Linked DNA regions of Xenopus tropicalis. The protein of the gene in region 1 purifies or fractionates together with the protein of each later gene. This does not show direct contact. Links are inferred from orthologs where the notes say so. Each region holds a gene or a part of one and is shown on either strand. Other genes may lie near its edges.

The links. Proteins that work in one complex are often made in the same cells at the same time.
Region 2: the proteins of rpp21 (region 1) and rpp40 purify together in Homo sapiens (co-immunoprecipitation; 3 studies listed by BioGRID and IntAct, counting the BioPlex papers as one, with this or other methods). This does not show direct contact. The link is inferred for Xenopus tropicalis from reciprocal best matches to the Homo sapiens genes RPP21 and RPP40.

Annotation. Positions count from the first base shown.
Region 1 is NC_030678.2:105,110,978-105,117,621, forward strand, and holds the start of rpp21 (ribonuclease P protein subunit p21), read right to left. Parts: upstream 3,761-6,644; 5' UTR 3,659-3,760; exon of another isoform or gene 3,545-3,658; intron 2,640-3,544; 5' UTR 2,636-2,639; coding exon 2,579-2,635; intron 1,508-2,578; coding exon 1,407-1,507; intron 993-1,406; coding exon 910-992; intron 1-909. Other genes in the region: zbtb11 (zinc finger and BTB domain-containing protein 11), read left to right, coding at 4,110-4,419. UniProt on the Homo sapiens protein: Component of ribonuclease P, a ribonucleoprotein complex that generates mature tRNA molecules by cleaving their 5'-ends.
Region 2 is NC_030682.2:88,076,663-88,082,632, reverse strand, and holds part of rpp40 (ribonuclease P protein subunit p40), read left to right. Parts: intron 1-3,077; coding exon 3,078-3,146; intron 3,147-4,986; coding exon 4,987-5,082; intron 5,083-5,970. UniProt on the Homo sapiens protein: Component of ribonuclease P, a ribonucleoprotein complex that generates mature tRNA molecules by cleaving their 5'-ends. Also a component of the MRP ribonuclease complex, which cleaves pre-rRNA sequences.

The DNA.
Region 1 (6,644 bases):
ACTAAATGTAAACCCCCTACAGCAGTAAAGATTGGACACTCCTAAGTTATCTAGTGCATAAGAAATGCCAGAAAACATGAAAATGCTTACAAAGGACAATTACAGAGTTATCTTTGTGAGTAGGCAAAGGAGAAGGGTAAACTAAATGAAGAAATTCCAGCAAAAGTAAGCAGAGCCTAAGGCTACTTCAGTACCAATTATCCTATATAGAAAGAATTTCAGTGGCATATTGCAATGGATCATACATCAAAGCAACTCTAAAGTAAATTTACTGCTTTCCACTGGTATTCTGCTTTTAATGGATTTTAATTTTATTTACTAAATTTGCCCTTAAAGAAACAGTAACACCAAAAAATGAAAGAGCTTTAAAGTAATAAAAATATAATGTCCTGTTGCCCTGCACTGGTAAAACTGGTGTGTTTGCTACAGTAACACTACTATCATTTATATAATAAGCTGCTGTGCAGCCACGGGGGCAGCCATTCAAGCTGGAAAAAAGGAGAAAAGGCACAGGTTACATAACAGATAACAGATAAGTTCTGTAGAATACAATAGTGTTTTATCTGTTATCTGCTATGTGCCTGTGCCTTTTCTCCTTTGAATGGCTGCCCCCATTGCTACACAGCAGCTTATTTATATAAATTATAGTAGACTTTATGAAGTAAACACACAACTTTTACCAGTGCAGGGCAGCAGCACATTATATTTTAGTTACTTTTATACACTTTCATTTTTTGGTGTTACTGTTCCTTTAACAGAGAATGGCTTTAGTGAAATGTGGTGATATCTAAGAAAACTGTTGGTAACTAGCTCTAATCTTTTTATTATTCATTTGCTATGATTATTACTATGATTTGGAACTAGTTAGTTAACTCAATATTAATAAGTAACTAAGCAGATTTTACTTACTTTTTTGTCGCACTGTTGAAGTCACACCAGATATAAGTAGAGAGCTGCATTTTTTACAAATAGTTCTTTTGACAGATGGGTCCCTATAAAAAGATATATATCTAAAAAGCAACTCTAATTTCACACTTTGATAAATCTGCCCTAAGTGGCTGAATCCTAAACAAAGTACTGGATTTGGTGCATAAAACTGATTTATAACATTATAGTGAAAATTTTTGCATCTATTATGCCCATAAAGATGAGGATGCAACTTGCACATTTACCAACAGGCTCAAATCTTTTGCCTCTATTTTTCCATTATTTACACCTAGTGCAGGTACAAAGTACACTGTACACAAACTTTCAGCAGACATAAAAGGATTAGAAAAAAACCCATTGTTTTCTTATGGCAAAAAACAAGCAAATTGTGTTTTTTTTTTTTTAGTACTTAGCACCTCTAGTATGGCACACAGACCAGTGTAATATAATTAAAAAAAAAAAAAAAAAAAGAAACTTACTGTCTCAACACCAATCGTTTGCTAATCATTCTTTCAGTATGGCAGTAAAATCTAGCCAGCTCTACATTTTCTGGGTTTTGAGCCAAAACGCAATGTGCAGCCTTGGGAAATGAACAAAAAAATGTACATAGAATTTCATTTTTAAAGGGCAAAAATGCTATCTATAATACTTATAACTTACATTCGATGTAGCTGTAAAACCACATATAAAATTTTGTATTATGAAAACATCGTTCCAATATAGCTTAATAACATATTGCCTTATTTTTTTAAATTTTAACAGAGAAGGAAAGGTATAAACTAAGCAAGCTTTATCATAAGCACTTACAGAACTGCTGCTCTGAATCCTCAGTGAAAATAAACACATTTATTTCCTTTTATTCTGTATACATGTTTGCTCCTCTATCTTCCTCCCTTCTCCTCCTACCCCTCCTCTGTCTGTTTTGTAATCTAAGCTTAGAGCTGTTGCGGGAGCAGTGTGCAGCTAGGAAAGTGAAGTCAAACCAAGCTAAAATAGCAGCTGATATCCAAATAGAGGGAGCTTCTATGGTAAAGCTTTCTGCAGAATAAATATAGTCACTATAGTGCAAGCTAGAACACTAATCTATTGGCTATAAAATGCCAAAATGCATTTCCTTCTCATTAAACATTGCTTGTAATGGTAATTTAAAGCAGTATTTGTCTGTGCTATGCTATTCTCTGCACTGCTGGTTCTGACTACATGTACCACTAAAACAATGTAGCACTGTTTAGCACCCTACCAGGTAAGACTTTATTCCTCTCAATGCCTTGAACATTTCTAAGTTTCCCCTTCTTAACATTTATTTTAAAAATTTCCTGGTTTTATTTGTAAATGTAATAGCTATTTAAAACAGTATCTGTCTGACTTTTCTTTGGTCTTGACTACTGCTCCAGCCAAAACTCAAATTAACAGAATACTTTGCAGGTTTTGTGCATAACAGACCTGTGGAGAAAGATGGAGGTGATTTCTAATAGATTGTTTCATTTACAAATAAATGTAAAATGACTCAAAATGTTTAATACATTTAAAAAAAAAAACAAATTAAAAACTACTTCAAACAGAAAATGCAGGCTGGCTTGATGTCCTGTTTATCTATATAGTTCCATCTACTGGCACTGCATGTCCCGTTATCTGAAATTATTTACTTTACCTGGTATAGAAAATTAAGTCTCTGAAAAGCTTCTTTGTCTTTAATTTGTGTTGTCATTTTTCTGTGGATTGCAAAACAATAAAGAATTTTCAGTTCTGTGAACTAAATGTTGTGTGAATGCTTCTGTGACAATGGCCCACAAGTGTCAAAACAATTGCATCATTTTATTTGATGATAATATGCACATGTACATTTATAAACACCCACAACATAACCTCACTTGGGAAAAAAATCCTTCATTTTATTTCTCATCTCTCTTAAAATGCTAAAGAGAAAACATTCTTTCCAAATGCAGCAGAACCCTAATTTTATGGTTTTCAGGAGCACCAAAAAAATGGTGTCAAATCCAGGAAAATTAAAAATCAGGGCTTCATATTAAAACTTATTATGTTTTTTATATTGGTGGGACCACAAAAAACAGTGTAAAATGAGGGAAAACTTAAATCTAGGGTATGATTAAGGTTTCACTGTATAAGGTTTAAAAATTGTTCTCTGTGCAATCCACACAGAATTTTGCATATACTGGAGATATCCCAACTATAGACAGAATAAAACATTATTTAGCCATTCTTTCTATATAATAAAGGTCCACTCTCCCAACAACATGGCACATATCGATTGATCATATCACCCACAGAACAAGTGTTATCATGTAATATTTTTTACTATTCAGATATACACACTGCACAAAGTTTTCATATAAACATGCAACTGGATTGCTGCCTAAATTTCATCCAACAATCATTCATTTATTTATTATGTAACATTTGACTGGATATATTCTGCTTTAAACCAGTCTAGGAAGTAACTGATGGAGAAGAATTTTAATAAGGATTTTAGCTTGTGATTTGTAAAGGTAATGGACCTTTCGTTATCTAACAGTCTGTTAGCCCAGCTGTAGATGTACATAGATCCAAGCTTTAGCGTAAACCTAACTGAAGAAGCGCTACAGTCTTCCCAACCCACCTTACTATAGTACACCATTTTCCAGAGATAAGTAAAATGTGTAATCTCCAAGAAGCAGCAGATTTCTATTGAGCTTTAGAATTAAATACGTTGCATATCTATCCCACGACTGACCTGCACCGTTCAATCGCCTTAAAGCGGAGGAATGATTTGATCCCTTCCCACTTGCACCTAACCTAATCGGTTTATATTTGCAGCTTTGAAATTCACTACGAACAAGATACAAATGGGCAAAACCCAGTAACTTCCGGTTTAATGCTGAAGGAAAGCAACTTCCTGTCACTGGCAGCTCTTGCTTCGCTCCGATTCCAAACATCTCTCCTTATGGTCATATGTCACTTCCGCTGGTGCAGCAGCCATTTTGTCTTTCTGCGAGGAGTCCATCAGACGTTCCGAGCCTTGCAGTTCCTCGTGTTAATTTTAGATACAAACACTGAACGGGGATAGAGAAGGCAGCGGGACTGAGGAGCCCCCACCCGGAGTGCAACGGGTGGGCCGGGGGAGGGCGCGCTTGAGCCGAGGAAGGTGTTTCTCAGTAAATTTATCTAAATAGTCCCTACCAGGGATGTCTAACGAGGAGAGCTACCTGGCGATACTGCGATACCTGACCAATGAGCGGGAGCCTTATGCCCCGGGCACAGAGGGGAACGCTAAGCGGAAGATCCGTAAGGCAGCTGCTTGTTATGTGGTGAGGGCGGGCACTCTTTATTACCAGCGCAAGCTAAGGGATAAAGAAGGATTCACCGAGCTGGAAGTCGTGTTACAACCTGAGCGCAGGAAGGGGCTGATAGAAGCGGCGCACATAGGCACCGGAGGGGAGCACCTGACCCGGCATCAAACATGGCATGTCCTGTCACAGACCTACTGGTGGAGAGGTGAGGGCAACTCAGTGTTGCTTACGCTTTTCTAATTTCCACCTTTGTACATCTCCCAGAATCACCCAACATGTAGGTGTGTGGCACCAAGCGTGCAAACCTCCTGCTTCCCAAACACATCTTCTTGTGTAGTTTTACTCCGCATTACTGAGCTACAGCCAACTTGCTCAGCTCTCCTCAAACTGTTTAAAGGGCTAGTTTATCTGGAAATGAACTTTTAATATGTTGTAGCTTTTAAAAGTTTTTGGATTACTTAGCATTTTTTCTTTAAGCTTTACAGTTTGGAATTTCAGCAGCTATCTGGATGCTAGGGACCGAATCACCATAGGAACTAGGCAGTAGTTAACCAGGCAATAGTTCTTTGGTTACTGGAGTCACTGACCTCCATTTGAAATATAGTAAGAGCTAGAAAAGGTAGGTAAATAATTACAAGACTGTTAAAAATGCAGAACAATTAAATAGTTGTTTTAAATAGAACATTCAAACACATAATATATAGCTAACTTAAACGTATATCTAGTATAAATCAATCTAAAGCAACTGGACTTGTTAAGTAATCATTGAAGACGTTTCACTACTCATCCGAGCAGCTTCTTCAGTTCAACTGACTGGTATGGGAAGCATAGCAAACTTGTATATGGAGGAAGTGGAAAGGAAGGCCCTACTCACATTCAATGGAACTACACCAAGTCACTGGTTCAGGTATGTAGATGACACGTGGGTTAAAATCAGATCCAACGAAGTGGCAGCCTTTTCAGAACACATTAACTCAGTGGACGACAACATCAAGTTCACAAGGGAGGATGTCCATGAGAACAAACTTGCTTTTTTGGACTGTTTGATATCCATTCAAGAGGGGGGTATCTTGAAAACAGACGTATACAGGAAACCCACTCATACGGATCAATATCTGTTGTTCGATTCTCACCATCCGCTGGAACACAAACTGGGTGTCATTAGAACTCTACACCACAGGGCGGAAAGTGTAACAACTGATACAGAGTCCAAGGACAAGGAATGTAAACATCTCAGAGGAGCACTGAAAGCTTGTGGCTACCCAGACTGGGCCTTTGTCAAAACAAGAGCAACTAAGCCCAACAGGAACACCAAAAGGAATACCCGTCCTGAGGCAGAGAGAAGGCGCAATATAGTCATCCCATATGTAGCAGGAGTGTCGGAGAAACTCCGGAGAATTTTCAACAAACACCACATCCCTGTGTTTTTCAAACCTGGCAACACACTGAGACAAAAACTTGTACACCCAAAGGATCCAACACCAAAGGAAAAACAAAGCAATGTTGTATACGCAGTCCAGTGTAGCGAGGAGTGCACAGTCCTTTACATTGGTGAGACAAAGCAACTGCTCTCCAAGCTAATGGCTCAGCATAGGAGGGCGAACACTACAGGCCAGGACTCTGCTGTATTTCTACACCTAAAAGACAAGGAACACTCCTTTGAAAATAGCAACGTCCAAATTCTGGACAATGAAGACCGCTGGTTCGAAAGAGGTGTAAAAGAGGCCATTCATGTCAAAGTGGAGAAACCATCCCTAAACAGAGGCGGGGGACTTCGACACCATCTGTCTGCTACATACAATGCTGTTCTAACATCTGTACCCCGGCAGTTTCAGAACTCTTCACACATCCATTCATGCAACTCTAACAAGTAACACCTGCTTTGAAGAGTTGCATGATACTTTGGTAATCCTTTCAAAGTAACTCCACAGCATTCACACCTCTGTGAGTTTCAGATGTCACCTTTCTGAAGAGTTACAAAGTGCCATTGTGATTGGATTAGTGGAAGAGTATATATGCTGAGGACTTCCCATACCAGTCAGTTGAACTGAAGAAGCTGCTCGGATGAGTAGTGAAAGTCTTCAATGATTACTTAACAAGTCCAGTTGCTTTAAATTTATTTATACTAGATATACCATGACCTGGATGAATGAAAATCTTCATAGACAACTTAAACGTACACTACCCCTATAACAAAAAAGCCCAGCATACCTTTCATGGTATCTAGGGGGGTTTGAGGTTTAGTAACAGGCACATGTAAAATCAAGTTATTTGCACTAAATGAGGGTTGTAAATAATTGCTGATGGCTGGGCATCTTTATTAGTATAGTTGGGATGTGTAACTTTGAAATTACTTAATATGATGCACTAATAGTCATTTCTGCTTGAATAACAACTGTTTTCCTTGTAGCCATGTGACTACCTCTTTCA
Region 2 (5,970 bases), on another chromosome or scaffold:
TCCTGATTTCTTATTCTTTTGCATGTTTGCAAAAGAGGGTTTTTATTATTTAGGGAGAAAAAAAATCCAAACCTACATGGCCCTGTGTGAAAAAGTAATTGCCCCCTGAACCTAATAACTGGTTGGGCCACCCTTAGCTGCAATCAAGCGTTTGCGATAACTTGCAACGAGTCTTTTACAGCGCTCTGGAGGAATTTTGGCCCACTCATCTTTGCAGAATTGTTGTAATTCAGCTTTATTTGAGGGTTTTCTAGCATGAACCGCCTTTTTAAGGTCATGCCACAACATCTCAATAGGATTCAGGTCAGGACTTTGACTAGGCCACTCCAAAGTCTTCATTTTGTTTTTCTTCAGCCATTCAGAGGTGGATTTGCTGGTGTGTTTTGGGTCATTGTCCTGCTGCAGCACCCAAGATCGCTTCAGCTTGAGTTGACGAACAGATGGCCGGACATTCTCCTTCAGGATTTTTTGGTAGACAGTAGAATTCATGGTTCCATCTATCACAGCAAGCCTTCCAGGTCCTGAAGCAGCAAAACAACCCCAGACCATCACACTACCGCCACCATATTTTACTTTTGGTATGATGTTCTTTTTCTGAAATGCTGTGTTACTTTTACGCCAGATGTAACGGGACACGCACCTTCCAAAAAGTTCAACTTTTGTCTCGTCCGGTCCACAAGGTATTTTCCCAAAAGTCTTGGCAATCATTGAGATGTTTTTTAGCAAAATTGAGACGAGCCTTAATGTTCTTTTTGCTTAAAAGTGGTTTGCACCTTGGAAATCTGCCATGCAGGCCGTTTTTGCCCAGTCTCTTTCTTATGGTGGAGTCGTGAACACTGACCTTAATTGAGGCAAGTGAGGCCTGCAGTTCTTTAGATTTTGTCCTGGGGTCTTTTGTGGCCTCTCGGATGAGTTGTCTCTGCGCTCTTGGGGTAATTTTGGTCGGCCGGCCACTCCTGGGAAGGTTCACCACTGTTCCATGTTTTTGCCATTTGTGGATAATGGCTCTCACTGTGGTTCGCTGGAGTCCCAAAGCTTTAGAAATGGCTTTATAACCTTTACCAGACTGATAGATCTCAATTACTTTTGTTCTCATTTATTCCTGAATTTCTTTTGGATCTTGGCATGATGTCTAGCTTTTGAGGTGCTTTTGGTCTACTTCTCTGTGCCAGGTAGCTCCTATTTAAGTGATTTCTTGATTGAAACAGGTGTGGCAGTAATCAGGCCTGGGGGTGACTACAGAAATTGAACTCAGGTGTGATAAACCACAGTTAAGTTATTTTTTAACAAGGGGGGCAATCACTTTTTCACACAGGGCCATGTAGATTTGGAGTTTTTTTTCTCCCTTAATAACGTAAACCTTCATTTAAAAACTGCATTTTGTGTTCAATTATGTTATCTTTGACTAATAGTTAACGGTTTTTGATGAGCAGAAACATTTAAGTGTGACAAACATGCAAAAGAATAAGAAATCAGTAAAAAAATAGTTTTTCACACCACTGTATATACAATCTATAAAAACTATATATTAAATAAAATATTCATTTCAAGGAGAAGGAAAGCCTAAGTCACTTGGGGGTGCCAAAATGTTAGGCACCCCCAAGTGACTTTAATCGCTTACCTTGTACCCCGGGCTGGTGCCCCTGTTAGGAGAAAATAGCACCAGCCCGGGGTACCTGCAGCGTACCTGCAGCTTTTCACTCTAATGCACATGCGCCGGCCCAGGGATTTCGCTGTGGAAGAAGGATGCGCTCACTACAGGTACCCCGGGCTGGTGCTGTTTTCTCCTATCAGGCACCAGCCCATGGTACAATGTAGGCGAATAAAGTCACTTGGGGGTGCCTAACATTTTGGCTTAGCCTTTCCTTCTCCTTTAAAGCCAAAATATTTTTACTTTTGCAGACAAATTGCAAAAAACTATGTGTCAAAGCTTTCTTACCAGGAATATTTTCAGCAAACTAATGTATTTATCAAACCAAAATGTGTTCGACTGCGTTGAGCAGTGGAGCAGCAGAGTTAAAGGAGAAGGAAAGGTAAAAAACTAAGTGAGCTTTATCAGAAAGGTCTATGTAAATACAGCCATAAGCACTCACAGAAATGCTGCACTGACTTCTCTGTGAAAAGATTTCTTGTGTCTGTATTTCATGTGACAGACACGCAGCTCTCTGCTGTCTCCTCTCTCCTGCAGGAGAGTCAGGAAGCTGACTCATAGGGGCACATTTACTAATCCATGAATCCGAATGGGAAAAATTTGGATTGGAAACTAACATTTTGTGACTTTTTCGTATTTTTTGCGATTTTTTTTGTCGCCGTTACAACTTTTTCGTAGCCGTTACGACTTGCGCGAATTGTCGCGACTTTTTCGTAGCCGTTACGACTTGCTCGTATATTGTTGCAACTTTTTCTTATTGAGCGCTCGTAAATGGCGGGCAAACCTTTCAGACTTTGCATGATTTTGGAAGCCTCCCATAGGACTCAATGGCACTCTGTAGCTCCAACCTGGCCCAAGGAAAGTCACGATACTGAAGCTTGAATGAATCCAAAGCTTTTGTACTCGGTGCGACAATTCGCGCAAGTCGCAACGCTACGAAAAAGTCGTAACGGCTACGAAAAAGTCGCAACAATTTACGAAAAAATCGCAAAATACCGATCATTACGAAAAAACCGCATTCGGACGCTTTTCGGACGTTCGTGGATTAGTAAATGTGCCCCATAGTCTAACTAACTGAGCATGTTCACTTGGTCTGGGTGTCTGTGCAGGAGCGAAGCATTATGTGAACTTTCTTTACACAGCTCAGTGTTTTTTCTTCCTGTTTGGCTTCTGATCATCTGTATGGGGAGATTTAAGGTCACTATTTGAAGAACTGAAGGTATGCCTGCAGCTTGAGATTAACTCTTTATTAGCCTTTCCTTCTCCTTTAAGCTCTATCTCTTGTCTGAATTATTGCTCCTCATAGCTTATGTTCAAAAAGAAAAGATTTGTACAAACATTTTCCACAATGAAACATTATTACAGACCCAAAAATAATTTGTTGAAATCTAAAAGTGTTTGTAAATCTTATTTGTTTTTTTTACAGGGGCATTCTATGCACTTACATATAGAACAAGGATTGACCAAGATAATAGTGCAGCACTGTTGCCAACAGGTAATGTTTCTGCGTCTTTTAATTGTCGAAATTCCCCCAGGAGAAAATTTGTGTGACATGTCTATATATGTATATATGTCTTGTATTTTTATTTCCTTACAAATAGCACAAGATAAATAATAAGTTACAGCACCAGAAGTGAATTATTTAAAAAAGCTGGCCATACAGATTGGATCTGCTGATTTCAGACAGGTCATAGGAAAGTTTTTTTGACAGGCATAGATGTTCTGTTGTGTTAACCAATTTTTCAGTCCTCTGATGCACCATGCAGTTAAAGGAGAAGGAAAGGCTAGTAAAGAGTTAATCTCAAGCTGCAGGCATACCTTCAGTTCTCTCCCCATATTTCACCTGTTCAGAAGATCAGAAGCCAAACAGGAAAAATAAACGCTGAGCTGTGTAGAGAAGATTCCCATAATGCCTCGCTCCTGCACTGACACTACGACCAGATCCTTAGCTTGCACATGCGCACACAGCAGAACATCTGGTTGCCATGGCGACCCAGAAGAGGACACAGGAGCGGGAGGGGGGGTGGTAGGTTGTGGCAGAAGGGGGAGACAAATGCAGGCAAAAATATGAAGGGAGATCAGGGTGCAATATAAAAGTGCATTTTTGGAGGGGGGGTGGCGGCCGGTGGTTGTGAGCCGCCAAGTGCAATCAGAGCAGGAAGGAGGGGGGGTTGTGAGCCGGCAGGTGCTGGACAAGATGGCGGCACCGTTCACTGAAACAACTATGTAGTTTCTAGTATGTGAATCTCTGTAAATCTTTCATTAGGCAAGCCAGAAATATAGCGTTTTTACACAGCAATAGTAGTACTATTTAATAGTGTGCTTAATAGATTTTGACTTTCCTTGTCCTTTAAGTATGTGGTGCATTTGCAAATGAGGAAGAACCAAAGTTCTTGTTTGCTTTCTTCAGTTATAATTGTTCTGGCCTGATGACCAGTGGGATTATAGCCATATGTGTGTGGCCGCTGGTAAGATATCAGTCAGCTTAGGCCAAAGATCATTAGCAAAAAATGTATTAATTATCTGTGAAATAAATTGATGGTTTTGGCTTTTAGGAATGCAGTTTTTCAGGTTATGGTATTTAGATTTTTTTTCTCAGACCCTTTCTTGAGTTAAATGAGAACTAAAGCCTAACTAAAGAAGAAGGGCAAAAATGTTGTACATTATATTTTGGGCTTCTATACCAACCCAAGACAACCACAGCTCTTTAGCATGGAAGATCTGTGCATCTTTAGATGACCTCAGTGGCTTACATATGTACATCTGTACATACAGAATATAAATGTCACAATATAAGGCTAATTAGTAATTAATACAGATACAAGGAGCATCAGACTTTAATAATCAGCCCTGTAGCATCAGCTTATATGACAGACAAACATCATATTCTGTTTGGTAGTTTGCAACAAACCCTTAAGCTTACCTTCTCAACAGTTGCTCAGGGCACACTGAGCATGTGAGTGTCACAGACACTTTTCAAGATGGGGAGCTCCTGTGACAAGTTTAGCTAGTGAGGTCCTGAAACTTAAGGCTGGTGCAGTAAGTACAGTATTTAAAATATAGGATTTTTTCCCATATTCATTTTTATAGTTTAGCTATCCTTATTTAAGTTGCAGTGTTTTATCTTCTGGAGGAGCACATTTGGACTTCTAAAATGCTTGACAGGGTCAGAAGGGGATTGAGGATGGTGTTGTAGTTGGTAAATGCACCCAGCTTGTTTGAAAAAAAATGAAAATTGGAAATTTATGGCAGCTCACTCTTTCAGTGGGAATAGCAACTTGGTAGATATTAAAGGAGGCCAATTGGTTAAAGAGCTCTATTTTTGATTTCCATAGGAAAGCTAATTTTATCAGTAGACAAAGACACCTATGAGGAACTGGGTCTTCAAGGCAAACCATCCCTTTATTCTGGTAAAAACCCTCTGCGATACAGTAAGTATTTTATTCTTATCTTTATAGTTTTTCTGTTACTGTTTTTTAAGTAATTGTAAAATACATATTAGTGCATGTCAGCACATATGTGTTTTTCTGGCAATTTGTTGCAGTAGATAGGGAAAATATACGACTGCCCTCATTATTAAGTTTTATTCTTAATCGTGCTTAAAGGACAAGGAAATGTGAATTCCCTGGGGTGCTGATATAGTATGCCATTCATCTTAAAGGAGAAGGAAAGGCTAGTAAGAGTTAATCTCAACCCCCATAAGTGCTGTTCTGTGCCATGCACAGCAAATTAAATTATATTCTGCCTTCAAGGTGGCACCGTTGATACTTTTTCTCATGTCCAGCTGATATCATGGAGCACATTAGAATGGTTTCATAGGCTGGAGCTGTGTATGAAGACAACATATTGTCAATTGCATGACATGAAGCTTGCCAAAATCTTGTAGTATCTTTTAGCTAGACTTTTGTCCTTAGGACTTGTTATCCCGACTTCATGATATTCTAAGCGCCTCTCTATTGGAGACCGAAAGCATTGTTTATTACTGTGCAAGGGGGGGGGACTGGTTTTGTGCTTTTCAGCAACACCCCTATAAGTGCTATTCTGTGGCATGCACACCGGCAGACGGCAGGGCGGGGATCAGAGCGGGGGGAGGGGGGGTTTGTGTGAGCTGGCAGGCGGCAGATGCAGGAATCGGAACGGGGGGAGGGCGTTTGTGAGCCGGTAGCTGAGGCGATCGTAGCGGGGTGGGGTCTGGGGGTTTGTGAGCCGGTAGGTGCGGGGATCTCAGCGGGGGGGGTGGAATGGCCCATACAGACATGCTGGACAAGATGGCGGCGCCGTTCACTGAAACAACTATGTAGTTTCTAGTATGTGTATCT